Linked DNA regions of Oryzias latipes. The protein of the gene in region 1 interacts with the protein of each later gene in a pairwise test. Links are inferred from orthologs where the notes say so. Each region holds a gene or a part of one and is shown in the gene's direction. Other genes may lie near its edges. The genes, in order: RNA-binding protein with multiple splicing, nedd9, rhobtb3, tfg, 5'-AMP-activated protein kinase subunit beta-2 and neu4.

Region 1 (4,239 bases):
TATTACTACCAAAAGTATTGGCAACTGTAACTCTTTCATCGTTAAATAACGTAATTCAAGCGAATTCTTAAACAAAGAAAATTGGCTTTGCGCCGTTTTACTATAATGTGTTGCATGTTTGTGCAAAGCCCAAAAGAAAAGCTGTTTTTCTCCATGTCAGATTTAGCTGATTCCCATTGGTTTGGTAAACGATCATAGAGTTAGGCCAAATCCAGATTCTTCCCCTACCCCTACATTTAGTCCCCCAGACGGAGAGTTATAGAAACATAATGCCTTCAAATTCGGACGTTACTCCCATTCAATAACATCATGAACAGTCGCTGGTCAGCTACGTTAGCACGGAGCAGCTGGTGCTCGGAAATACCTAACAACATGTAAAACGTCAGGCTAAAGGAAAAAGTCATTACTTAGGGCTCGACATCCCTCCGCAGCCATGGGTTAGCCATTAAAAAACTATTTCGGACAACCCTATCCCTCCAAAAGCCCCTACAATTGGAAGGGTAGGGAGAAGCCGTAGGGGTAGGGGAAGAATTGGGATTCGCCCTTATCAAAGGGCGTGTGTTGTTCAGCTGTTGCCAGCGAAATCTCCGATGTTAAAGGGTTGAAAGACCCATCCGCTCATCTTTTGAGCTCTTTTTAAAGCGTTTCCAGTGGTCTTTTAATTATGATTGTACCGTTTTCCAAAACCAAAAAACCTGTGTTGGTTTCTTGGTCATAGTTTCTGCAAAGCGGCAGTAGTTCATTAGAAATTCCCCTCTGACATGTGGGCGGGACTGCTGGCATGGAGCAACCCCGCTCCCCCTTACCCTCCCCGTTGTTGAGAGCTCTCTGTTTACACTCTCTCCCACTACCTTACAAGCCCCTCACACCCCCAACCTGACATTAGCAGTGCAAGAAAAATGGCAAGCAGTGTTACAGCTATACAACCATACCAAGACGTACATGGATTTAGTCGTCTACAAGGGATGCGTCAGAACGGAGCCGCCCACCCAGCGTATTTCTGACATCACAAATACGATCTTCATCTCCTGATTCACAACGATTTGAATTTTTAAAATTCTCAAAAATGTATAGCATAATACTGATTATCTGAAAATAATAATCGAACAAGATAACCAGGACGACAAGCTTTACACGGTTGACACAATTATTCTAAAATTGAAAATTTCTTTATTGATAATGTAGAAATATTTCATACATTTCTTTGGAGCAACAACAACAAAAAAAAGAAACTCAACCTATTGTCCCTGATAAAATAAATAAGCCAGCACATTGAAAGACTATCTCAGGAATGTTGCCGGGACTAAAATAACACGCAGCTGGTCCTAAAGTTGACTGATACTGATTTTCCACTGAAGCTCTCCCTCCACGAGGCTACTTGATAAATCTTGATCGGGCTGCGGCGCATCCCACTCCTTACCCCACCCTAAACCCCTCCCTCGCGCGCGCGGAGATGGGGAGAGAAGTTTGCCTGCGGCTCGGTCCAGCGAGCATTGACTGTTGAGGAGACAGGGGCTTCTGGTTTCCAGGGAATGCTGAGGAATACCCGCCCGCAGGCTCACCTCACCCCGCTTTGAGTGGTAAAGACACGAGGCAGGCAGGAAGAAGGAAGGAACGGGGGGTGGCATTTAGTGGGATTCATGTGGCAAAACTAAAAGTGAAGGAAGCTCGGGTCAGTGGGACAGCGGGCGCGCGCGCGGACTGCCTGTCCTGTCGAATCCAACGAAGGAGCCGAGGAGGAGAGACCGAGACCAGAAGACGACCGTCCCGAGCGAGAGCGACACGAGTGCGGCTCAGGATGAACAACAACAAAACCGAGAAGGAGAACGAGACGACTGAATTCACCAACCACGAAGAGGAGGTACGCGGTTCCACCTTAAATCAGACGCCAGAACTACTTGTTAGGCGGTGTAGCCGCTTTAGCCTTCCCGGCCACCCGCGTTCTACCTGTTAAGGTGAACCCGAGTCAATTAGAGTCGAGTTTATCCTACTAAAAGTTGTCACATCCAGATGTTTGACCTTAACATCCTTATGGTTTCATTAAAGTTAGATGTCAGTCATTCCCTTATATTTTCTTTTTTTTTTTTAACCTTTTTTTTATTTTTTTTTTATTTCTCTTTTGTTATTGGGCTGAAACATAACGTTTTTCAATCAATAAATGTACGTTTATACCCATTTTCCCTCTATAAAGTGGATTTTTTTTTTCATGAAAAACAGCTTTTTTTTTAGTTATAATGTAAAATTTTATAAACGAAAGTTTCGTCCTGGTTCAGTTTTAACTGCAATTTGGGTGAAAACAGGTTTTTGTGACCAAAGAAAATTGGTTTATGGGTGAAAATGTTAAAAAAAATGCATTTCATTTTGAGATCGGCCCCTTCTTTAATGCAATAATTGCTTTACTCATTAAAACATGACTGTTTCTTAATTTGAAGGCAGGTTGTGGGCTACAGTTTACTGAAAAGCCATGCAGTCAGGGAGACTTAGTTCTCACTGAAGATGAGCAAGGCATTGAAGTTCAAACAACTAATGCTGCAACATGTAGGCAATGACTCTATGTAATCCTACCTCACAGTCAAACAACAGGAGCCTCGTCCCGCATCTGGATCTAAACACAACACACTAACGTGTATTTGTCAGAAGATAAACGCTCGGTTTCTTGACCTTGGTTCGAGTCCATCCGCGTCTTTTTGGTTCGGTTTTGGAACCGATTTGCACGAGCTCTTTGTTGTTTCAGAACCCGCCTCTGCACCCGAGGGAAGGGAGGAAGGTAGATCAGATTATTTCTCTTGGAGTAATTTGATTAAAACTCAGCAGAATGTTACTCACTGACTGATAATAACCCAACACACTCGAACTGATGTAAGACTGTGTTTTGTTGGTTACTGTGGAGTCTGTGTACCCCCATAGAGTTAACGAAACCCTGAAAAAAATGCATTTTTATGTGGTAGAGCTCAGGTTTTTTTTCTTCTTTCTGGACAAATAGTAATAAAGATTACTTTTTATCAATGGGACAAAGATACGCTTGTGTGTTTTTAGGTAATAAACTACTTAATGAATCAATACCTGGCTTTTGTCAATAAGATAACCTCCCAATACCTAAAAACAAGAGGTGTCCTGAGCTTCTGTTGGAAAATATTGAGTCATCTGTCCCAAAGTGTTCCAAGTTTGTTTTTTCTCTTACTTATGTAGCTTTTCTCAGGTTAGATTTCACCTTTTGAACCTATTCATTAGTGTTTTTGTGACAGAGGTCTCTGTACCCTCAAGAGTTCCCGAAACCCTTTAAAAAAAAGTGTATTTTTATTTAGAAGAGCTCTGGGTTGTTCTTTTTTTTTTACTGGACAAATAGTAATAAAGATCACTTTTTATCAATGGGGCAAAAAAGGTTTGTGTGTTTTTGGTTAACAAACGACTTAAGCAATCGATAGTTAGTTTTGGCCCATCCGATAACCTCTGGATTGCTAAAACAAAGGGGGTCTAGAGCTTCTGTTGGAATAGAGAAAACTGTACTTGAATGATTTATCCTAAAGGGGCCCAGGTTTCATGTTTTCCCTCTTTCAAATGGAGGTTTTCTCAGGTTAGATTTCCTCTTTTGAACCTATGCTAAATCGGCAGTGTTTTTGTGACGTTGGACATCAAAGAGACCCAACAGTCCTGACGCGAGTAGAAAAATGATTCTCTCGACCTGCGTCCGGCTGGAAAAGTAGTACTCAAGCGGACTCACCGGACGTGAGTTGTCTCGAGTTGCTTTTTTTTTTTTTTCGTAAGAGAGACGGGGAGAGTAATGGCCAGAGGAATCTAATGTGGAAGCATTTTGGACGCCATCCAGACGAGCGAGGACTTAAATTCACTTGAATGGATTAGCGTAAGGTTAGACAGCCCCCACTTTATCTTGGGTGTAATGATGTGTGTTGCATGCAAGAGTAGCGGCAAGGTTGGGGGCTTGGAAGTGAAGCCGAACCCAGTTCTGCACACGTAAATGCGCCTTTTCCCCCCCCTCCTTGATTCATCCAGGCATTAAGCTGGTGTGGAGCTTTCTCAAACGGCCTCATTTTACACATTAAAATGCAGAACCCCCTTCCAGTTTCACTGCAGGCACTAAATGCTTAACAGCTTTCTGCTTTACTGCACCTACGTATCAATAAACTAACCTTATGATGAGCCAAAGTTTAACAGTCTGGTTGTTTGTGTGACTCTCATGCCAAACAACGGCCTCAACGGTCCTCATGCCACCTCCCCTCA
Region 2 (4,293 bases), on another chromosome or scaffold:
TTGTAGTGGTGGACAAAGAACAGAGGAAAGCCGTTGTGGTGGATGTGGCAGTAAACCCCCAAGCTGGAGGAGTGGCTACAACAGATACCTGGAAAGACCTCAGACCTCTTTGTCCAGAAAAGCGCAGTGCTAGGAACAGCTAAGATACTGCGCAGGACCCTCAAGCTCCCAGGCCTCTGGTAGAGGACCCGAGCTTGGAGGAGAAACCACCCGCGGAGACTGAGAGGGGCGTTTTTATACACACACACACATTTTAATTCTTTATTTTTTCACCCCTCACTGAAGTAATAATGTGTTTATGTTTTTCTTGGGTCCTGAAAGAAGGTTTGGATCTATTCCTGTCTATTTAAATCCTGTAGGTCAACAAAGACTAAAACATCCCTGCATGGTTTTATTTTTTGAATTTGAACTCAGGTTTGGGTTTTGGGACTGTTTATCTTTACTGGAGATTCATGAGCTAAACGTTTTATGTTCCTAAAGAACAAAAATATCAAAAAAATGCCGATTTTGTTTTGTCCAGTTTAGCCTGAAAATGTGTTTGTCCATGTTCTAAGTACATCTCACAAATGAATGCCACTTTATTGTTTAAATCAGTTTTTCACAAATGTTGTTTTTACTTTTCTGGATTTGAGAGTTTGACAAATTTGTTTTGGGTTGAATACTTTATTTCTGGACTGGAGACCACAGGATGTGAACGCGCCCTCTAGTGGTTACCTGTTGAATTGACCTGGCTCCAGATAGTATTGTTTGGTTCTAGGTTTGAAAGATGTCACTTCCCATCCATTGTGGGTAACAAAATTTTTCTAAAGGGGCCAATATTTTATTAAATATTGTGTTAAAAATGTTTACGATTTTTTATAAATTGACTTTAGACAGGTCAACTTCCATAGTCTCAGGTCTTCTCAAGAACTACAAATAGGATGAATAAGTAAATGGGATAATGTAGCCTGTAGAGATAGCAAGATATTATTTTCAACTGACTAATGCAGTTTTGTAAGAAGTATCTAATGTGTTGGAGGGAATTTAAAAATATTAACTGGACTAAAAAAATAATTTGAGTAACTATAAAGCTATTTTTTAAATTTTAAAATATTTATTCATTAATATTATTCATATATATCATGATTCGGACTGATGACTCCTTATTGGGACGTCAGCTGCTTTAGGGTGCTGTTTGCACTTTTACCTTAGACCTGTTACGAGTTGAGCGTGCGTGGAGTGGTTTCTCTGCGCATGTGTGGGTTTTCTTAGTGCTAAACTAATGTCTGGTGGTGTACTAGTGACCCGTCCAGGGTTCACCACATTACCCTCTTTCACCCTGAACGACAGATTTGACTCCGTCACCCTCCTTACATGAGTGAGTCGGCTTTTACTTTTTTAAATCCATGCAATGACGTCACGGATCTGAGGACGGGATTTGCGGGGGCGGGGCCGTGGTGGGTTTCTGACCAATCAACGACGTGCTTTGGGGGTGAGCGGTGCAGAGCCGCTGCTGTCTGCTGAAGCGGCTCAGACGTCGGTGGACAGACTCTCGGAAGAGTTGTTCTTCTGTCTCCGATGCCGGATGGATCGTTAATCCAAACGGAACCTTCTCTGGATCGGCAGTTCTTCAGATGAGTGGTCCTGTGTCGCGTCCAGGAGGATTTCCGTCACTTTTCCCCTGATTTTCAGACACGCACGGCGGGATGAAATATAAAGTAAGTGGCGGGATTGGCTTCTTTTTACCGTCAGCGACGTTCTGTTTAGAACTTATTTTAACTCAGGAACTTGTTCAAAGTGCTGATCCGGACTGAGGCTGCGTGGGGGACGTCTTTTAACAGAGGCAGAGGTTCAGCTGTACAGAATCCGGTTAACTTCATCTTGAAAGATGCGCAGGGGCGTCTACAAGAACACGGCGGTCCCCTCTGCGCCCCATGCCACTGAGCCCCCCTGAAATCTACCAACTTTTTTATTTGGGGGGAAAAAAGTAAAGAAGATGATCAACTCCTACATAAACTCTAAATTGTAGAAAACATAAGCAAAAAAATACTTTGGGGACATCAAGTTATTGTCAATTGTTCTGCTATTTCTCTCCATATTATCAATATTTATTCAAGATGTGTTCAGAAAAATGTAAAAGTTGCATCCTTCAATGAATCCACCACATTCATCATCTCAATAATATATATTAATAGAACGTGTGGAAAAAGGATGGTGGTTTTGATGGCTGTGACATTCGTGTATAATCTGGCGTTATTGCTGTGACAGGCAGGTGTCACTGATTGGACAATATCACGCTCAGTTTTTTAGTCAGTGCTGTGATTGAGGCCTTCACTGAGTCATCATCAACAAAGAGGCCCTGGTCTCCATGGTTGCATTTAGATAAACAGTAAGCAACTGTCTGTGACCCACAATGGTGTCTCCAGGGAGTACTTTGACACCCTGGTTTCCCTCCCTTCTACATACGGATTCTGCTTATTAATAAACACGTCTACCTATGTTTACTACATCCCTTTTGGGAGTGGAGGGTGGCTGGAGCTTTGAAGTAGCCCTTCTGAGGACCAGGGTCACGTCACAGCAAGACGATCGAGTTCCTGGCTGTGGCAGGGTTTACTGCGTCTGTCAGTTATTTACAGCGAGCTGGGCTCCGGCGGCACGTAGCTGATGTCAGACTGTTTCCAGCAGGTGTTCAGGTGCGGCCAGGAGCCGTACGCACTGCACAATGATGCGTCTAATCCCCCGGATGAGTTCGCACACGCAGAGCAGAGGCAGAAACATGATCCAAGGAAAGAAAAACACTGAAAGGGCTGAGAGGAGCTTCTGTGAGAGCCTGGAAACAGATCTGTCTCACTGCTCTGACACGGATCACATTTGTTCTGTTCCCACCGACTCAGAGCAACAGAGCACGCTCAGTCTAAAGGGGGCGGGAGGTGACCTTTTACTAACCCAGTTAATGAACATCTGAGAAGCTTTCTAAAGTTTACCCCAGCATGTTTTCAGGAAGTGTCTTTAATATGAACCAGGGGGAAAAAAAGCTTGTTTCCTTCAAGAAGTTTCTCCACGGATGTTCTCCGTTTTTTTTCTAGAAAAGTTCAGTTTGGTTCGAGTCATAACATTTGAGCTGCCACTCGTGCTCGTGTTCTTTAAAAACTGGAGCCATGTCAGTTCACCAGGTCACCACTTGGGGCACTGTCCATTAAATTTGAGATAGTATTCGGGCAAAACATGGGGTGTTCCTTTTTGATTCCCAGGAGATTTTGGAATCTTACTAAGCGTGCTCCAACAACTAACTCATTTGTCCTGCTCGCTCTTCGTACCCAGCCAAGATGACGATGATTCTGAGCTAAAACTGACTTTAAATGAGCCCCAAACAAACTGACCAGTCACATGACCAAAGGTGGTCCATCGCTGAAAGCCCAAACCTTTCTTCCTTAAAGAATCTAATCCAAATCTTCCTTTAAATCTCAATAATCCGACTCAGACAGTGTGATTGACAGTCAGCTGAGCCAAAAGGAGGTGGCAAGGGGCTACAGCGACATGTAAACAATGAGGATTGAGCAGCCAGTGACATTCAGCAGAAAGGAAAAAGGAGTGCAGACACGAAAGTGTTTCTCCTCCACTTCTATCCTGCATCTGTAAAACTGTGCTGAAGGGCTGCAGAGTGGTGGTTCTTGTTGCCACGGTTACCTGAGGTCTCAACACCATCAAGAGGTTCCGCTCAGACATTGCTTCAGATGCCTTTCGGTTGGACCCCAGGCAGGAATTTAAGGCTATAGCAGTCAGCGGGTGCACCGCCCGTGGTTTACTGCAAAGCAGTGAGGTCCAGGGGAGGTGGGGGTAGCATTGTTATGAGAGCAAAGAAGAAGAAGAGGAGGAGGAGGAGGAGGAGCTGTGAAGCAGAAAGGCTTGTAGAAAATGAAAAAGAGCGGAAGTTATGGGGAAATGAGAGGGCAAATGCAGTGGTGTGTGTGTGTGTTTACAGGAAGCGAGCATACTTTTCCTCAAAAAGTGCAAACAGTGAAAGCATGAGGCTAACGCCTCCCCCCCCCCCCTGTCAAGTTTAGCACATAATTTGTGTCTCTGCCAAAAGTCATGACCCCCCCACCTCCACTCCCGCTGTGAAGTGGCGTCTTGTGCTGCAGGACGCTCTTGTCCACTTTTACCCCTGTGCAGGTTTTTTGTGGGAACTTCTCTCAGGCCGACAGTGAACCCCCCCCCCAAGTCACACACACACTTTGTGTCCTCAAATGAGACGCCCTTATTAACATGAGAAAACAGTCGTTTTGTGGGGTGGAGTGTGAGGGGGGTGCAGGG
Region 3 (3,500 bases), on another chromosome or scaffold:
GGGGTAAAAGAGGCTGACTGCTCACCAAGGTCTGCATTAGAAAAATGAATTATGGGAAAAAATGTAAAGTTGACTGCAGCACTGAGAGGATTTTGAAGCAAAGCTCAAGGCTTTAGGACAGATTCATAAGAAGTGGACAGCTGCTGGAGTTTGTGCTTTGAGAGCCATCACATGTTGACACATCCGAATGACTTCTGCTGCAACGTTTTTTGTGTCAAGCCACTCTGAACAGGGAAAAAACGTCGGACTAGGGCTAAGGGCAAAGAGAAAACATTTTCTGAGTGATCCAAAGTCACCTCTACATATGAAAAGAGATTTTGCATTTCTTTTTATTAGAGTCAAAAATGAGTCTCAGACTGTTAAATTCCTTGAGTGTTTCCCTGTTGGTGGGGAGCCATGTCCTCCATTGTGCTTCATCAGGTTCAATTTAAGTGCAGTGGTTTAACAGGAAGTCTAAGAGCACATCTGCTTCCTTCTACTGACAAGCTTTATGTAAATAGTTGTAGCTGGATGAGGTAGTTGACTATTCTGCTTAAATTCCAACTTCTGTGATCAGCCATTAGAGCCCTGTCAAATCTATGCTGAAAGGAAAGAAGCCACAGTAGATCCAGAGACTTGGGGACTTGGACTTAAGACTCAAACTTAAGTCTAGCACACAGGGACTTGTGATTGATGTTTATTATAATTTTTCAGCTTTAAGAAATTTCATTTTTCATTTATTTATTTGTTCCTTTCATGAAAATTATCGATCGTCCAATATGTTTACATGTTTGTCTTACAATATTGAACATTTTCATGATTTAAAAGGAGCACAGTTGAAGAATACAATTCTTATAATTGTCTGCTCCCTTTTAGCCCTTGTGCTATCTTAGATGACCCCACCCTTACATTGATGTGTTATTCCTACAATGACAAATGTGGATAAAGGTGGAAAGATTTCATGTAATCCTTGGACACCAGTGAAGATCACAAATCATTGAAGAAAAAAGGTTCAGCGCACTGTCTAGTAGGTCTAGATGACCCAACTCCCAATGTTAAAGTGCCTAGGATAGCACAAGGGTTACACATTTCATTGTATTTACATTTCTTACACCATCACTTGTGGTCAGATTTCCAAATAAAAGTGGTTTATTGACTATTTGTTCTGATGAAATATTCATTTTACTGGTTTTAAGACTTGAATTGAATTAACAGCTGAAGATTTGACTTGAACTTGCAGAAAGGAACTTGTGAGCATCTCTGGAGAGACCCAACAACCCAAAAGAGCTGAAGGCTTCTGTCAGATCAGCCGTGACATCTATAAAACCTCAGTGGGGATGCAGATGAATCCCTTCCATACCGTACAATTCTTACATTTTCTAACTAACTCTAAAGTATTTAATAATTTGAGGTACAGAATTTTTAAATATGGCTATAATCTTCAAAACTAAAGGAAGTAGACACCTTAAATGTCCCTCTGTGTGAATGAATCATAGTGACCTTTACCTTTTGACTATAAATAATTTCTTGATGGGATTCTAATGTACTGAGATGACTTGATACCTTTGAGGTTTCAGGTGTCTCTCTCTCTCTCTCTATATATATATGAAGCGGCCAACTTAACATTCAGAGTTGGGCAACACTAAATTGATGTGTCTGACAAGGCTTTTGGCACCATGCACGGCATACAAACCAACAGGCTGGAACAAAACACCTGAGGCTGTTTTGAGTCAGTCTGATGCACAGGGCTGCAGGAGCTTTTTTTAATGTGATGAGACACCATAACATCCTGTTTGATGTGCGCTTCTACGGACACCTCTGTGTCGTTTGATACCATTTGAATGTTTTCTATTAATTTGCAAAAATCAAAGGTCTGGATTTTGTTGCCATGCCGATGGAAGGGTTTTTCTGTGTCTAATGGAACTGCGAAAGGTTGTGCTAATTATTTCAAGTCAACAAAACCTTGTCTGACAGTACAGGTGGTGTGTTTTTTATTTTACATTCATTAAAGTGTATCAGCTGAGCGTGGCTGCTTTGACAACAGGTGGGTTGGAGGACCGTCTGTTTCCCCACGCTGTTCTCAGCGTTAGCCAGTTCCAGGCGTGTCGCTTCTGGCATTGGAGTTTGAGAGTGTTGGGTAATGCTAAGCCACACTGACAGAGAGGCTATCTGTATTCCGTGTGAGAGGCGAGTTAGTTGCTCCAAATAGCAGGTTTTTTTCCCCCCTGTTAACAAGTACCTGACTTTCATCAGAGGAATGCTAACACCCTGATTTATTTGATTTCCTGCTGTAGAGCTCCAGGGACACGCCAAGTGCACGAGCAGCTCAGCTCGGTCCTCAGACTCTGGTCAACCTCTTCAATTCTCCTCTCTATTCGGACGTCATTTTCATGGTGCAAGGTGGGGGCAGACTGATCACCAAGACACACTTCTGTTCAGATTCCCACCGCACAGGAGAGTCACAGTTTTTTCACTTTTAGTTACATTTTAATGTTAGTTTCTGCTCTGTCATTTCAAGAGGCAAAAAACCATCAGTGTGATGTCCTTTTTTTAATTTTGATTCCCCTCATGTTTTAGGATGGCCGCCGCTCCTCTACTCCTCCAAAATAAAAAATGCATTGAAACCTCACCTCATAAACATTTATCATGAAAAGTGCAGAGAGCTTTTCCTCTCTATTCCAAAGTGCTAGTAGAACCGCTGAGAAGTCATTGAGAAATACCTATTTAATGTTTCATAAAAGATCATTTCTGTTTTATTTCATGTGGAATTTTGAAAAGGTTAAATAAGTGCTGCAACTGCCAAACACACATCAAGACCCAAATGAAATGCATTTAATCTGTATTTATGTTCAAGACTTCATCAATAAGAATCGCGTTTTAATTTAGAGTTTGGACTTGGCTGTCACAAGCAAAAGCCCACCGAAAGAAATGACAGAGATGCCCGTTTCAGATCTGAAGAGGTTTTCTTTTGAGGAGTACACATTCACTATGAGCTGATGTATAGTTTGAATATTCTAAATCTAAACTAATAAATTGCCAGGTGTTCCTTTATTGTTGTAATTTCTTTCATTATCAAATAGGTAGCGTGTTGCCGGCTCACCGGGCCGTCCTAGTTGCCCGCTGTGACGTCATGGCGGCCATGTTCAGTGGGAAGTATGCAGAGGCTCGGAGCAGAGTGGTTCCCATCCATGGCGTCTCCTCTGACACCTTCCTATCTTTCCTTGAGTACCTCTACACTGATTCCTGCTGTCCTGGTGAGTTTCCTCCAATTCTAGATGAACTTTCAGAGAAGCGGACAGAGGGGAGTAAAAGAAGGACAGAACATTTCCTGATTACTTCAGTCTGTAAATGGGAAAAGTCCCATTGCATGGTGTAAAAAGATGTTCACATAAGTGCATAGGTGCAGTGGACTTCAGCGTTTGTGTTATGGGTCGAAGCCTCTGACAAAAGCACATATGATGAGTCCCTTCAGCTTTCATACCACTGTCAGTCTCACAGAACTGCAACAAATCTTAGAAACA
Region 4 (3,500 bases), on another chromosome or scaffold:
TGTTAATTTCTATACAGAAATTATGGGATTTTGGCTTCTTGTACCCACTCGGTACTTCCTGTTTAGAATGCCGGGGGGAGGGGTTGCTCAGTCCAGCTCTCATTTACAGTCGGTGATGCCAATTAGAATGAGAATGTCATGCTTGTTTGAGCCTTCATTTCAGCAGTAAAATTGATGAAACGGTCACACCCACATGCTGGAGCCAGTCAGAGAAGAATAGTTTTAGTTTGGGGTTAAAGTCATTGTATTTGGCCTTTTGAGTTGGTTTTACTTTTATCAAAATGTTTACTTTTACTCCTTTGCATCTCAGAAGTCTAATGAATTGTTTGATGGTAACCCATTGAACATTTTGGAAGTCTTTACTGCAGTTTTTTTGATCTGTTTGTGTCCCATTTGTCTTGTTTGTAGAGTCAGTAGATGGGCGTGAAGGTAAAGTCATGGCGGCCGACCCCTCAGTGAAAGGCCCCCCCGTCAGTGCAGCCAGCATGTCGGCCTTTGACCCATTGAAAAACCAAGATGAGGTCAGCAAGAATGTCATCTCTGCTTTCGGCCTGAGTGAGGACCAGGCTCCAGGTACTGGGAGCTTCACCATCACAAATGCACAAACGCACAGGCTACAGCGATCATGTTCTGCTGTTCACCTGTCACCCACAGCTCCCCCTGCTGTTGCACCAGAGGAGCGCTCTGCAACCCCTGACAGCATCGCCTCATCCTCATCTGCTGCACCTCAGCCGGGAGTCCCCCCCCAGCCACAGCCTGCCTATGCTGGAGTACAGCAGGGACCGCCTTCTGGGATGGATGGTGAGCTGGTGCAACCTAAACCTGCTTAACCCAGTAACACCAGGGCTTTAGCTCCAGGTTACATTCTCTCGGCTACTCTTCAACACAATTAACCCATTTCTAAAGAAAAGGAAAGTGGACTTGTGCTTAGGGCTGTGACAATAACCGCATCACCGCATCACCGCGGTGATGACCTCATCACCGCGGTGATGACCTCATCACCGCATCACCGCACTTTTTTTTTTTTTTTACGTTTTGCATATGGTGCGTTTGGAACTATAATAAACACATTCATCTTTGCTGATAATTTCCTTTTTATGCTAGTCCTGTGTTCAGACTTTCTTTCTTTCTTTCAGACTGTTGTCTCCTTTTCTCCCACCGCGCGTGCTCTCAGTGTCTGCCTTCGCGCTGCAGGTGGCACGCGGCTCCGTTTACCCAAACAGGCGCGCAATTTCAGAAGCACACATCCTTATTTTACACCAGAAGTTTCCGTCTCGTGAGGAAATACGATAAATTTACTGCTTTCTAATTATTAATTTTCATTGTATTCATTTCCATTACAAGCTGCGTGCGTTCCTAAGTGCGCGACACGGCCGCCCACCGGAGGATTCTGTGTTTGGGGGGGGTGTAACTGTCCTCCTTCAATCCGTAACACCAAACAAGAACGCGCACTGTTAGATTTCCATGAAAATCACCACATGTTTTGTTTGGGAACTATTTTTTGCAGACGTTTCTGTATAAACAAAGGCGGAGCAGTTAACCGCGACACCGCGCCCCCTGGTGGTTCATCACCGCGGTGATGAAAAATTCGACACCGTCACAGCTCTACTTGTGCTGATTAGCAATACTTTATAGCAGTGAAGTGTTTACACAATCAAAATAAATCGTCTGATTCTGTTGTAGATAAAAACAGCTTTGGGCTGTTATGCATTACTTCATAAAGTGTTGTTTATAAAGTGTAGCATATCGGCGCAAAGCCGCTTTTTTCTGCTACAGAATCCATTTGGATTAACTTGTTTGTTATTTAGATGCTGCCTGCAACATCTCCAGTGTTAAAGGGTCAATGCAGTAAAAAATACCTGAGCCATCTTCAGGGTTAAACTGGCATTAGTATCTGAAGAAGCAATGCAATTCTAAACTCTGATGCCAAATGACGTGAACAGCTAAAAACCTGCACAGAGTTCAGTGCTTCTCGCATAGCAACATGTATTTAGTGTGTTGTAACTTTGGCTTATAATTAGTCAGGGCTCCAGACTAACTTTTTTCACTAGGAGCACAGTGGCCCCTAACTGAAAATTTTAGGGGCACAACCAGAAAATGTAGGGGCGCATACCGTAAATCAACATTCTAACCAAATCTACTAATTTCCACTGTATTACTAATAAATACTTTAATAATAGATGCAGAAATTACAATGTGCTGTTTCAAATTCAGTGTCACATTTTATTCTGCATTCTTTTGAAGATGCAACAAGAAGGTAAACTGACAGCAGCATCTTTGTGACACCAAATAGGTACAGCCAAGATGCACAATAAGTGTGTTTGAGATCACCCAGGTGAACTCAACGCTGCGCAGATCACCTGGTGTGTGACATATATTTTTGTTTTTGCTCCAACATCAACTGTCAATCATCACAAAATATTGCGAGAAAGGGGTGGGAGCAAGGGGCAAACCTACCCGGACACAGCTGAAAACTGAACTGACTGAAAGCTGCCCTACAGACTACAAAACAATGCATTATGGGACATGTGTCCTGATGGTTTTTGTAGTGGAGTGATTAATTAAAATAATTTAAAATACCAATTCATTAAAAAAGGCTATATAGATCACAAAACATTAAAATAATCATAAACTAGAAGGAGCTGCATTTCCAGAAGAAAATGCAGGGTTGAATGCTGTACTGCTGAATGAAAGCTGAATTAGCTGAAGAAATAACTGAACTGTACTGGAAGAACCATGAAAAGTTAAAGGTGCAAAAGTCCTAGCAGGAATAAGCTGAAAAAGTTGAACATTGTAATAGTAGAATGGCTGAAATAGGTCAAAATTTGTAGGACTTAAGCATGAAAGCTGAAATTGTTGAAAAAATGGCTGAATTGTTGAAAATTTGAAGATGTTGCTAAAATGGCTAAAAGTACTAGCATTGGAATCAGCATCATCAACTGAATCCAAAAAACACATTGTTTGAGAGTATTATATTGGTAAAAGCTACATGTTATAAGTTGATAGAAAATCCACTTTTTTCAAAATGGCGGCTTTTCTATTGATTTTATCTCCATAGCAACCATTTTATGTTTGGGTCGCCTGGAGATGAGGAACAAATCAACGTCGGTTTCAGATGAATCGGAAAAAGTAAATTTTTGGACGTCCTTAGCAACGAGGTTTGTTTGCTAACCACGCCCACATTCCTTATATGTCCAGATCCAGTGAATTTCAATATGTTCAGTTCCAGCCATGGATGAAATTTATTGCAACATTTGCTTCAGATTTTGTCAAAAAATGCCCACCAAACAGTAGGTTGTGTTGCCATCCCATAATAATTTCAAAACGTATGTTGAAGTCCAAAGCCTTGTGAGCATTTCAATGTCTGAACGGTGCCTCTAGCTGAAAGCATGTTAAAGTTGTAATGCTTGAAAGCAACAAAGGTTTTCAAGGATTCTCCATGTATTTAAATGAAGAAAAAATCTTGGAAAATCCTGGAAAATCTTGGAATATCTTGAAAA
Region 5 (4,175 bases), on another chromosome or scaffold:
TTCGCCCATATGAATCAGGTTGAAAACGCCTCAATTAGTAACTGCTTTACAGCAAATGTTGACCAATCAGGGCTGTCTGGTCTTTTAAGGAAAGGAGGCTTTTAAAAAATAAAAGTAAGAAAATAGCATCATGAAAAACATATCAGGGGATAATACTGTCATGTATCAATTTTTTTTCTTTTATATTAAAGCATGTAAAAAATTTAGGCAAATAAATTCATGAATATCAAAAATGAACATCAGAAATATGGTCTTTCGTTAAAATTTAAAAATGAGTGACAGAATAAAAGTGTTTGGACATAAATCCATTGATGTTCTTAACCTGCTGTATCCCTTTCGGGGTCACAGAGTCCCCAGAGCCTGTCCCAGCTGTTGGGCGAAGGTGGGGTACACCCTGGACTGGTTGCCAGTCGGTAATGGAGCCACACACTCATAGCTACACTAAGGGACACTTTAGACTCACCAATTAACCTATAAAGCATATTTTCGGACTTTAGCATGAAGCCAGGGTGCCTGGAGAAAACCCACACAGAAAGGTCCCAGCTGGTATTTGGACAAGGACCTTCTCGCTGTGAACTAAGAGCACTCACCGCCACAGTACAGCCCTGGACAGAAATACGCTCACTAAAAAATAAACAAAATTCAATTTCTCAGTTAATGTTGTAACTTAAACTTTTTAAAACATTTTATAAACACCCGCAACCAAAGCAGTTGTGATGTGATAGGTGAGCTGATATTGTAGTAACAAATTGCTGGGGAGGGGGGGGGGAATCACACCTTATCATTTCCACAATGTCATTTAAATCATTTTGTTTACCTTGATGGAAAAAAAGCTATGATAGAATGAAAAATGCCAGGGATGTCAACTCAGCTGTTTTACCTAAAATACAGTGTATTAAATTAAGTAATTACAACCCCCCTAAATAATTAATCACTTTGAATCGAGAGTACACATAGACAACAATACATATTAAAATGAATGAGAAACACTTATGCTCATTGCATTAACGTCATTAAATGACTTAAGTAACACAATAATTTGTATTTTTTTATGCAAATTAGGGTAAATCTTTTTTTTATTAAATAAATAGTATACTTGATACATCTATATGTTACATTTTATAGTATAAAAATGTCTTTTAATTTCATTTCATTTTATTTGTAAAAAAAAATTACATTGACTAAATTGTACATTATTTGGATAATTTTACTACAACCACTATTAAGAAGAGACACGACACCAAATAAAGAATTAATTACATTTATTTAAGTATTTGTAAAATTTCATAAAAATGTTTTTTTTTTTGTTTGTTTGTTTACCGGATGTTGTTTTTGTCGCGGCTGACTGCTTTTTTTCCTTTACCGACCGCCGTAGTTGTAAAAAGGGGAGGATCTTCGCTGGTGTCACAGACTTTCCTGCTGCTCTTCAACACAAATCATCGCCTCAGCAGCGATAGGCCGAGCTTCTAACCCTTTTCGGTTCTTTTAAATGACTAAAAACAACAACAAGTACTCTATCAAATTAGTTAAATTGTTTTAGTTGTTATTTACACAGTGAAAGGAGTTCCCGGTTCGAAAGCAGAGTGACAGCTAGCTAGCTGCTAGCTGACTTTAACAGCGACCAGCAGCTAAAAATATTCACCAGGACAGTCGCGAGGTAGGCGGGCACAGCAAAAGCGTCCTGCGCAGTTACCACGGTAGGTTACAAATAGTGTGTTTTGTCATACGAACTAAGCTTTTTATTGATTCGCAAGTCATTCGGTTGTAGTTAAAGCAGATTTTCGAAGGGACCCATCTGTGTCCAGGGAAGTTCACTGATAGTTCATGATGCTAAAAATACCTTCTAAACGTGGGTAGGTTAGCTGTTGTGAATATTTTTATTTTCTTTATAATCTAAAGATAAACGTATCGTTGTTTTCCACATCATTAGGCTGTTTTGTTTTTTGATTGATTTATTTTTAAATATGACTCTGGATCATCCTTAGTTCTAAGAAGAAAAAAACAACAATCACAACTGATGATTTGATGTTTTTTATAGCTATAACTTTAACTCTCACGAGTAACACAATTTTAGTTTATTTTCTGTAAAACCAGAGTGTGACATATGTGAATGTCACACAATGTGACATAAAGCGAAATAGGATTTGCTGTTTGTTGACTAAAGCCAAGGCTGATCAGTGTTCCATGAATCCAGCAGTGTCACGGTGAACCCACCAGTCTACAGTGTTCAGCAAACACCTGCGCCTTTGTAGTAAATAGAAGCTTTTGTGCCCTGAGCTTTTAGTTTTTTCTTTTTTAATTTGATCGTTTATCTATGTTGTTCACTGAAACCTCCTACTATTTTATCCTTTAAAATTAAGACATCTTAGCTTGTAAACTAATTTGAAGTGATGGACTTGATTATAGTGTGAAAGGTTTATACTGCTCATTTCTATGTAGGGGGAGGGGGGATCAGTGTCTCTGTGGGGACGTAAAAGGTGATGCTTGTGAAAACAAGCACCATCATGTGATCAAAATTCAATTAGAAGTTGTATTCTCTTTTAGGTTTTTAGTAAAAAGTACATTTTACTATGATTATTATAGAATAGTTGCATGTCGTTAACTTAAACCAATCTTATCAATGTTTTATGATACAATATTTTTTAAAAAGCTTACTTTGGTACTTAAGCAATTTTTGCCTAACATTACTTTCTTGTAATTTCTTAGTAATATGAAACAAAAGTTATCCTAGAGTTCGCTTAAATCAGATCATCTTTACAGAGTTCACTTTTTTTTTAGCAAGGGAGTTGAAGTCAGTCTGGCTCTTTACTTGGTTCAAATTAATAACTGAAAAAGGAAAAATAAGGAGAGGAAAAACTGTCACCAGATGCATTTACATGCCCTTAAGAAACCGAGTGAAACTGTGTTTACAGAATAGTTTCAAGTTTGTTTTTTGGCATTAATCTGCTCAGTGAAAAACAAGTTTTTCAGAAAAGACTTACATTGTAAACTGTTTGAAAAGACGACAAAAATCCTCTATGAAAGCAGAAAATAATAGAAAGCATCTGATAAATATGAATAATAAATATCCTCAATGCAAACATGAATGAACATTTGTCATAAAAGTGTTATAAATAATGGTTTAGTTCCCACTTCAAGAGTTTCTCCCCCCTATATTTTGCACAGTAAGCAGTGAAGCATCATGGGTAACACAAGTGACAGGGTATCTGGAGATCGGCATGGAAACAAGGCCCATCGTTCCGACAGCAGCGGCAGCCACAAAGACCAGGAGCACAGCACCAAGATGGTGGACAGCACAGATGATCCCAACATCTTCAACACCTATGGACCTGAGTCTAAAGTAGGAATCCAACTACTTCACTATATAATCTCATTTCTTTCATATTATAAATATTTATGTTTGCTGTTAGGGGCTAGGAGATAAAGAATTCACCCCGGATCTGGATGACCTGGTGAAAACTGCCTCCCAGGCCCGTCCCACAGTGATTCGCTGGGGTGGTGGGGGGAAGGAGGTTTATATCGCAGGCTCTTTCAATAACTGGAACACTAAGATTCCACTGAATAAAAGGTAAACCGTTGGTTTTACATCAGTTATACTGGTGTCGAATGTGTTTTGAAGTTTTGTCATCGTTTTAATATTGTTTGCTTTTTCTTTCCCTCCTCAAAGCCATAATGACTTTGTTGCCATTTTGGACCTGCCTGAAGGAGAGCACCAGTATAAGTTTTTCGTGGATGGACAGTGGGTTCATGATCCTTCAGAGGTACCCGAGTCATTTTTCTGTGCTTGTAGTTTTTGTGGAAAAAAGTTTGAGCTCTGCTGGTTTCTGGGTTGCAGTCAACATCAAAACCTAAAGGATTAACTGAAAGCGTTAACAAGCTAATTTGCTGGCAACAAGTCATCTTAACTGAATATGAAGTAACATGGTTGAAGCAATAGGAAATGTTTTCTTGGAGTATAAGTCAGTAAGAACAGATTTTAAGCTTGGCATTGGTCAAAACTTGTCAACTAACCCATCTAAAACAGATTGGACAGGATGGTTCTGTATGTTTTATAATTTCATTTTTAATTGTTTTTTTTTACCCCTTATTCATGCAAATATTCATTAAACAACTTCTGCTTCAAACTTACCTTAATCTAGCATCAACTTAAAAAGCACAAGCATTAGTGAAATTGT
Region 6 (4,222 bases), on another chromosome or scaffold:
AAAAGTTCAGTGCAGGATTCTTGAAGTTTGATATTTTTATGCAAAAGGAAAATTTAAATGGCATCAATAACATTTATGCACAATGGCTGGCATTGGACACTTATGTTGATAAACTCACATGTAGAGACAGAGAACCTTGATGAATCAATGTGATCTATTTTTTATATTTATTGTTTGCATGTGAGTCTAAAGAAGATTTTTGACACTTTGTTTGAAAGCTTTTTTCTGTTTTTACTTAATTTTTAATGCACTATGTTTTTGTGTTCTATGCATAAATACCGTAAATGTTCTACATTTCAGTCACGATATGGAACAGTACTGGTGCTAATATGAGAACGTACATATACAGACTAACTGTTGAACAGTTTCAATAGACCTTTGATACATTTTGAAGGGAAGTTTAGCAGTGAAGAGCTTTGAACCGAAAGAAGCACCTATTTATTTCCCAGGCGCTGTGCAATGAGAAGACAAAGGGAAGCAGAGAGAGAATACATAGAGGGCAGATCATAACTTCTTTGTTCAGATTGACCCCTCCCACTCTGCCATCTTTTCCACAATGACCACTGTCCGCTGATTCATCCAAAGCTGTAGATCTGATGAGTGTTCATTTCTGGGTCAGTGAGCAGCATGCCGTGCTGCTGCGGTGAACAGAGAGAACAGACCATGGCTTTCAGATCCTCTGTGGAATACACAAACTCACTGCACTGTCATCCCCAAAACCCAACACTCTCTGTACCAACACAAAGTAGCTGCAGCTCTTTCTGAACTTTGGAAAGGTAAGGACTCATATCTACTTCCCCATTGTGCCCTGGACATTAATTTAAAAAATTGTGAGAAAATGTGCAGATAAATGTCATTTTTACTCTTAAGAGAAGAGATTGTCTCACAATTTAAAACTCAGCCAGTTAAGTCTTTGTTGCTACAATCAAGATACATTTAGTCTTATAAAGTATGTACTTTAAAGGTTAAGCTACGTTTAATTACACAAATGCCCGTGCTACCATTTCATTTTTAATTCATTCCTTTAATGGGATCTAAAGTAAACTTGACAGCTTAGACAGTAAGAAACAAAACCTTTTCTGTCACCTGACTTTTCTTCAGGATTGTTTCATCAAGTTTACCTTTGAAATCATGAAATAAATTCTTATTTTTGGGGTTTGTTCACAGTTGATACATTTTCTAATAATGTATGTTTGTTCGTGTGTGGAATATATTCATGTTTATCATTCCACATAAAAGCCAATCAAAAATTGAGAAAAGCAATAATTTCTACTGAGGCAATTATTGTTTTTCCTAATTCTGTATTTTGCACCACCCCATGTACATGCTATATTTTTCAATGAAAGCTGGTTCTGATTTTTACGTTTTTGCAGAAAATCTCCGGGTTTGCTTTGAGGAAGTGTCACACAGTCCTGCTGGAGCATGAGGTCGCCTTATTTCCCAGCGAGATCAGTGCTTTTCCGAAAAGAGTCCAATGGAGTGACGTATAGAGTCCCAGCTCTGATCTACGTGCCCCGCAACAGAACATTCCTGGCCTTCTGTGAGGAGAGACTCAGCCCGTCTGACTCCCAGGCTCACCTGCTTGTTGTGAGGAAAGGCACTTTCTACAGAAACTATGTGGAGGTCTGTGATAGGATGGAGTGCGGTGATTTTTAACGGTCAGAAACACAAAGTTTTGCTTTAAATTCTGCTTGTGTTGACATTGCACTGCTCCAAATATAATTTTTGTCAGCACTCTGATAAGTTAAAGGATAAAACACACACAGTGCAAAAGCCAGAACAAACCTTTCTCTTTTTTATTTAGATTTATGTCCATATTGTGTTTAAAACAACAAAAAGCATCAGTTTGGAGAACACAGTGATGTCCAAAAATACATTAAAAAACAAATTATAAGAGGCAACAATTGTTTTTGCAGGATGATGGTGTATTTACAGATTATAGAGTAAGATTTGATATCTAAAATAAGACAATAATTACACAAGTGTAAACACCAATCTTCTTATGCAAGACAAAAATGAAGAACCTAGGAAAGAGTCAGACAACTGGCATTCACTGAAGACTCCAGAAGATTCAACTAGGAAATTTTAGTAATATAACACAGTTATATAAAAGTAATATTTGCAACACAATTTGTCTATTATCATATTTAGTTTTTTATCAGTTCATTTCTTTTACGTATACTTTTTTCTGCCCTTGTCTCTTAACTGATTTTTGTGGCAGTGGGGCAACATCAGTGTTCTGGGCACTGCCTACCTTCCAGGCCACAGGTCCATGAACCCGTGTCCAGTGTTCGATGACTTCACGGGAACGCTCTTCCTCTTCTTCATCGCTGTTCTCGGCCACACGTCAGAGTCCTACCAGCTGGTGACGGGGAAGAACGTGACCCGGCTCTGCTACATCTCCAGCACCGATGGGGGGGACACCTGGAGTCCAGTCACCGACTTGACCAAGACAGTCATAGGAGACACCATTAAAGGTCTAAACATGTCCACTTTGAACAGATTTTTAATCTGGATAGTCTTTTTGAGATGAAGAAAAAAACAGCACAAATGAAGCCTAAGATGTTTATTTCTCCTCTGGACTTCAAATGAAAACGAAGTCAGACAAAAAAAAAAAAAAACTTCTGAAAGCCCCAAAAACTTGATACACCTCATGATACATGATACACCTCTGTGTGTATCAGAGTGGCCAAGATACTCAGTCATTAATTTATCTCCAAAAGATATTTGCATTTCTGATCTCTTTTTGCATAGAAACCACCTTTATATTGTTAAAGCACAGAAAAACAACAATCTTTAGTTAAAAACCACACTTTGTAGAGCTCCTATGGGAAAAGAGGAAATCTTTATCAAATTGCCAACAATTAAATAGGAATTAGGGAAAAATGCTAGCTGTGTTCTGAAAATGATACATGCTATAACTGTTTTTTCATAGTCCCATTCCTCTCCTTCTTCCCAGCAGATTGGGCCACGTTTGCTCTGGGCCCGGGTCACGGCCTACAGCTGAAGTCGGGCCGTCTGCTAATTCCTGCCTATGCCTATCACATCGAGTGCAAAGAGTGTTTGGGGCGCCTCTGTCAGACCACTCCTCGCTCCTTCTGCTTCCACAGTGACACGCACGGCAGGAGCTGGCGCTTTGGAGAAGCCATTCCAGCTCCAGAGAGCGTGGAGTGCCAGATGGTGTCTGTGGATGAAGAAGACGGCTCCAACGTGTTGTACTGCAACGCACGAAGCCCTCTGGGATACAGGGTACAAGCCCTCAGTCTGGATGACGGAGCTGTGTTCCAGTCAGGGCAGCTGGTGCCCCGACTGGTGGAGCCTCGAAATGGTTGTCATGGTAGCATTGTTGGATTTCCTGCCCCGTTACATTTATCCAAAAGTCTGAAGAATTGCTCAAAGCGTCTTGTCTCCAGACACTGGACATCCCACACTAGCAACATGCACCTACACCATCCTAATCCAGATTTCCTAAATCCTACCTGGGTGGTGTATTCCCATCCAACACTGACCACCGCCCGCCAGGATCTGGGTCTGTTCCTTAGCCTGTTTCCACGTGATCCAGACAGCTGGCGTGGCCCCTGGGTGATCTATGAGGGTCCCAGCGCGTACTCTGATCTGGCCTACCTGGAGCTGTCAGCCTCACCTGGAGCTGTGCCCGCCGTGGCCTTCGCCTGCCTCTTTGAGTGCGGCACCAAAACCCCCTACGATGAAATCTGCTTCAGCATTTTCACCCTCTATGAGCTCATCGACAATCTGCCCGTGGATGTACAGCCCAGGGAGGATGACTGCAGACAGACCAGCGGGAGCTGTAAACAGCAAACCCAAAGGACACCTGCTGTGCAGCCGAGGCCGCACGTGAAGAAGAGGAGGAAGAAGAGCAAGCTGCTCGAGATGTGTTCTTCTTCCTAAGCACAGTTTGAAATGTATGACATCCAGACGAAGTATCTTTTGATTAATAGCATTTTAAAAACAATGTATTCTCTCCTCAGGTGCATCTGGGTATGTGATTTTTTTCCAGCAAATTAAATATTAGATTGTAACTTTCATAAGCTTTTTTTAGTATACGCCCATTTTAATGCTGCTTTTTCTTAAGAACATTTGTAGTTGGGGTTTTTAATGCTCATATTTTTCAATTATCTAAAGTTTCTTGGTGCTTTCTTGGTTGCCACTAGTCAGTGAATTTTTAGCAACTTTAAGCTTCTGAGACATTATGCTTTTTATC

What was found.
Region 2: the proteins of RNA-binding protein with multiple splicing (region 1) and nedd9 interact in binary tests that used the Homo sapiens proteins (3 or more experiments, as listed by UniProt). The two-hybrid records come from large-scale screens. The link is inferred for Oryzias latipes from reciprocal best matches to the Homo sapiens genes RBPMS and NEDD9.
Region 3: the proteins of RNA-binding protein with multiple splicing (region 1) and rhobtb3 interact in binary tests that used the Homo sapiens proteins (3 or more experiments, as listed by UniProt). The two-hybrid records come from large-scale screens. The link is inferred for Oryzias latipes from reciprocal best matches to the Homo sapiens genes RBPMS and RHOBTB3.
Region 4: the proteins of RNA-binding protein with multiple splicing (region 1) and tfg interact in binary tests that used the Homo sapiens proteins (3 or more experiments, as listed by UniProt). The two-hybrid records come from large-scale screens. The link is inferred for Oryzias latipes from reciprocal best matches to the Homo sapiens genes RBPMS and TFG.
Region 5: the proteins of RNA-binding protein with multiple splicing (region 1) and 5'-AMP-activated protein kinase subunit beta-2 interact in binary tests that used the Homo sapiens proteins (3 or more experiments, as listed by UniProt). The link is inferred for Oryzias latipes from reciprocal best matches to the Homo sapiens genes RBPMS and PRKAB2.
Region 6: the proteins of RNA-binding protein with multiple splicing (region 1) and neu4 interact in a two-hybrid assay, tested with the Homo sapiens proteins (2 studies listed by BioGRID and IntAct). The two-hybrid records come from large-scale screens. The link is inferred for Oryzias latipes from reciprocal best matches to the Homo sapiens genes RBPMS and NEU4.

What each region holds. Positions count from the first base shown.
Region 1 is NC_019876.2:8,063,078-8,067,316, forward strand, and holds the start of RNA-binding protein with multiple splicing, read left to right. Parts: upstream 1-1,439; 5' UTR 1,440-1,798; coding exon 1,799-1,861; intron 1,862-4,239.
Region 2 is NC_019869.2:19,404,888-19,409,180, reverse strand, and holds the start of nedd9 (enhancer of filamentation 1), read left to right. Parts: upstream 1-1,493; 5' UTR 1,494-1,685; coding exon 1,686-1,697; intron 1,698-4,293. UniProt on the Homo sapiens protein: Scaffolding protein which plays a central coordinating role for tyrosine-kinase-based signaling related to cell adhesion. As a focal adhesion protein, plays a role in embryonic fibroblast migration.
Region 3 is NC_019863.2:17,211,193-17,214,692, reverse strand, and holds part of rhobtb3 (rho-related BTB domain-containing protein 3), read left to right. Parts: intron 1-2,273; coding exon 2,274-2,379; intron 2,380-3,059; coding exon 3,060-3,233; intron 3,234-3,500. UniProt on the Homo sapiens protein: Rab9-regulated ATPase required for endosome to Golgi transport. Involved in transport vesicle docking at the Golgi complex, possibly by participating in release M6PRBP1/TIP47 from vesicles to permit their efficient docking and fusion at the Golgi.
Region 4 is NC_019879.2:8,948,540-8,952,039, reverse strand, and holds part of tfg (protein TFG), read left to right. Parts: intron 1-408; coding exon 409-573; intron 574-654; coding exon 655-801; intron 802-3,500. UniProt on the Homo sapiens protein: Plays a role in the normal dynamic function of the endoplasmic reticulum (ER) and its associated microtubules. Required for secretory cargo traffic from the endoplasmic reticulum to the Golgi apparatus.
Region 5 is NC_019875.2:22,987,785-22,991,959, reverse strand, and holds the start of 5'-AMP-activated protein kinase subunit beta-2, read left to right. Parts: upstream 1-1,375; 5' UTR 1,376-1,697; intron 1,698-3,165; 5' UTR 3,166-3,181; coding exon 3,182-3,340; intron 3,341-3,410; coding exon 3,411-3,568; intron 3,569-3,667; coding exon 3,668-3,761; intron 3,762-4,175. UniProt on the Homo sapiens protein: Non-catalytic subunit of AMP-activated protein kinase (AMPK), an energy sensor protein kinase that plays a key role in regulating cellular energy metabolism.
Region 6 is NC_019871.2:13,922,634-13,926,855, forward strand, and holds neu4 (sialidase-4), read left to right. Parts: upstream 1-1,422; coding exon 1,423-1,623; intron 1,624-2,221; coding exon 2,222-2,477; intron 2,478-2,962; coding exon 2,963-3,909; downstream 3,910-4,222. UniProt on the Homo sapiens protein: Exo-alpha-sialidase that catalyzes the hydrolytic cleavage of the terminal sialic acid (N-acetylneuraminic acid, Neu5Ac) of a glycan moiety in the catabolism of glycolipids, glycoproteins and oligosacharides.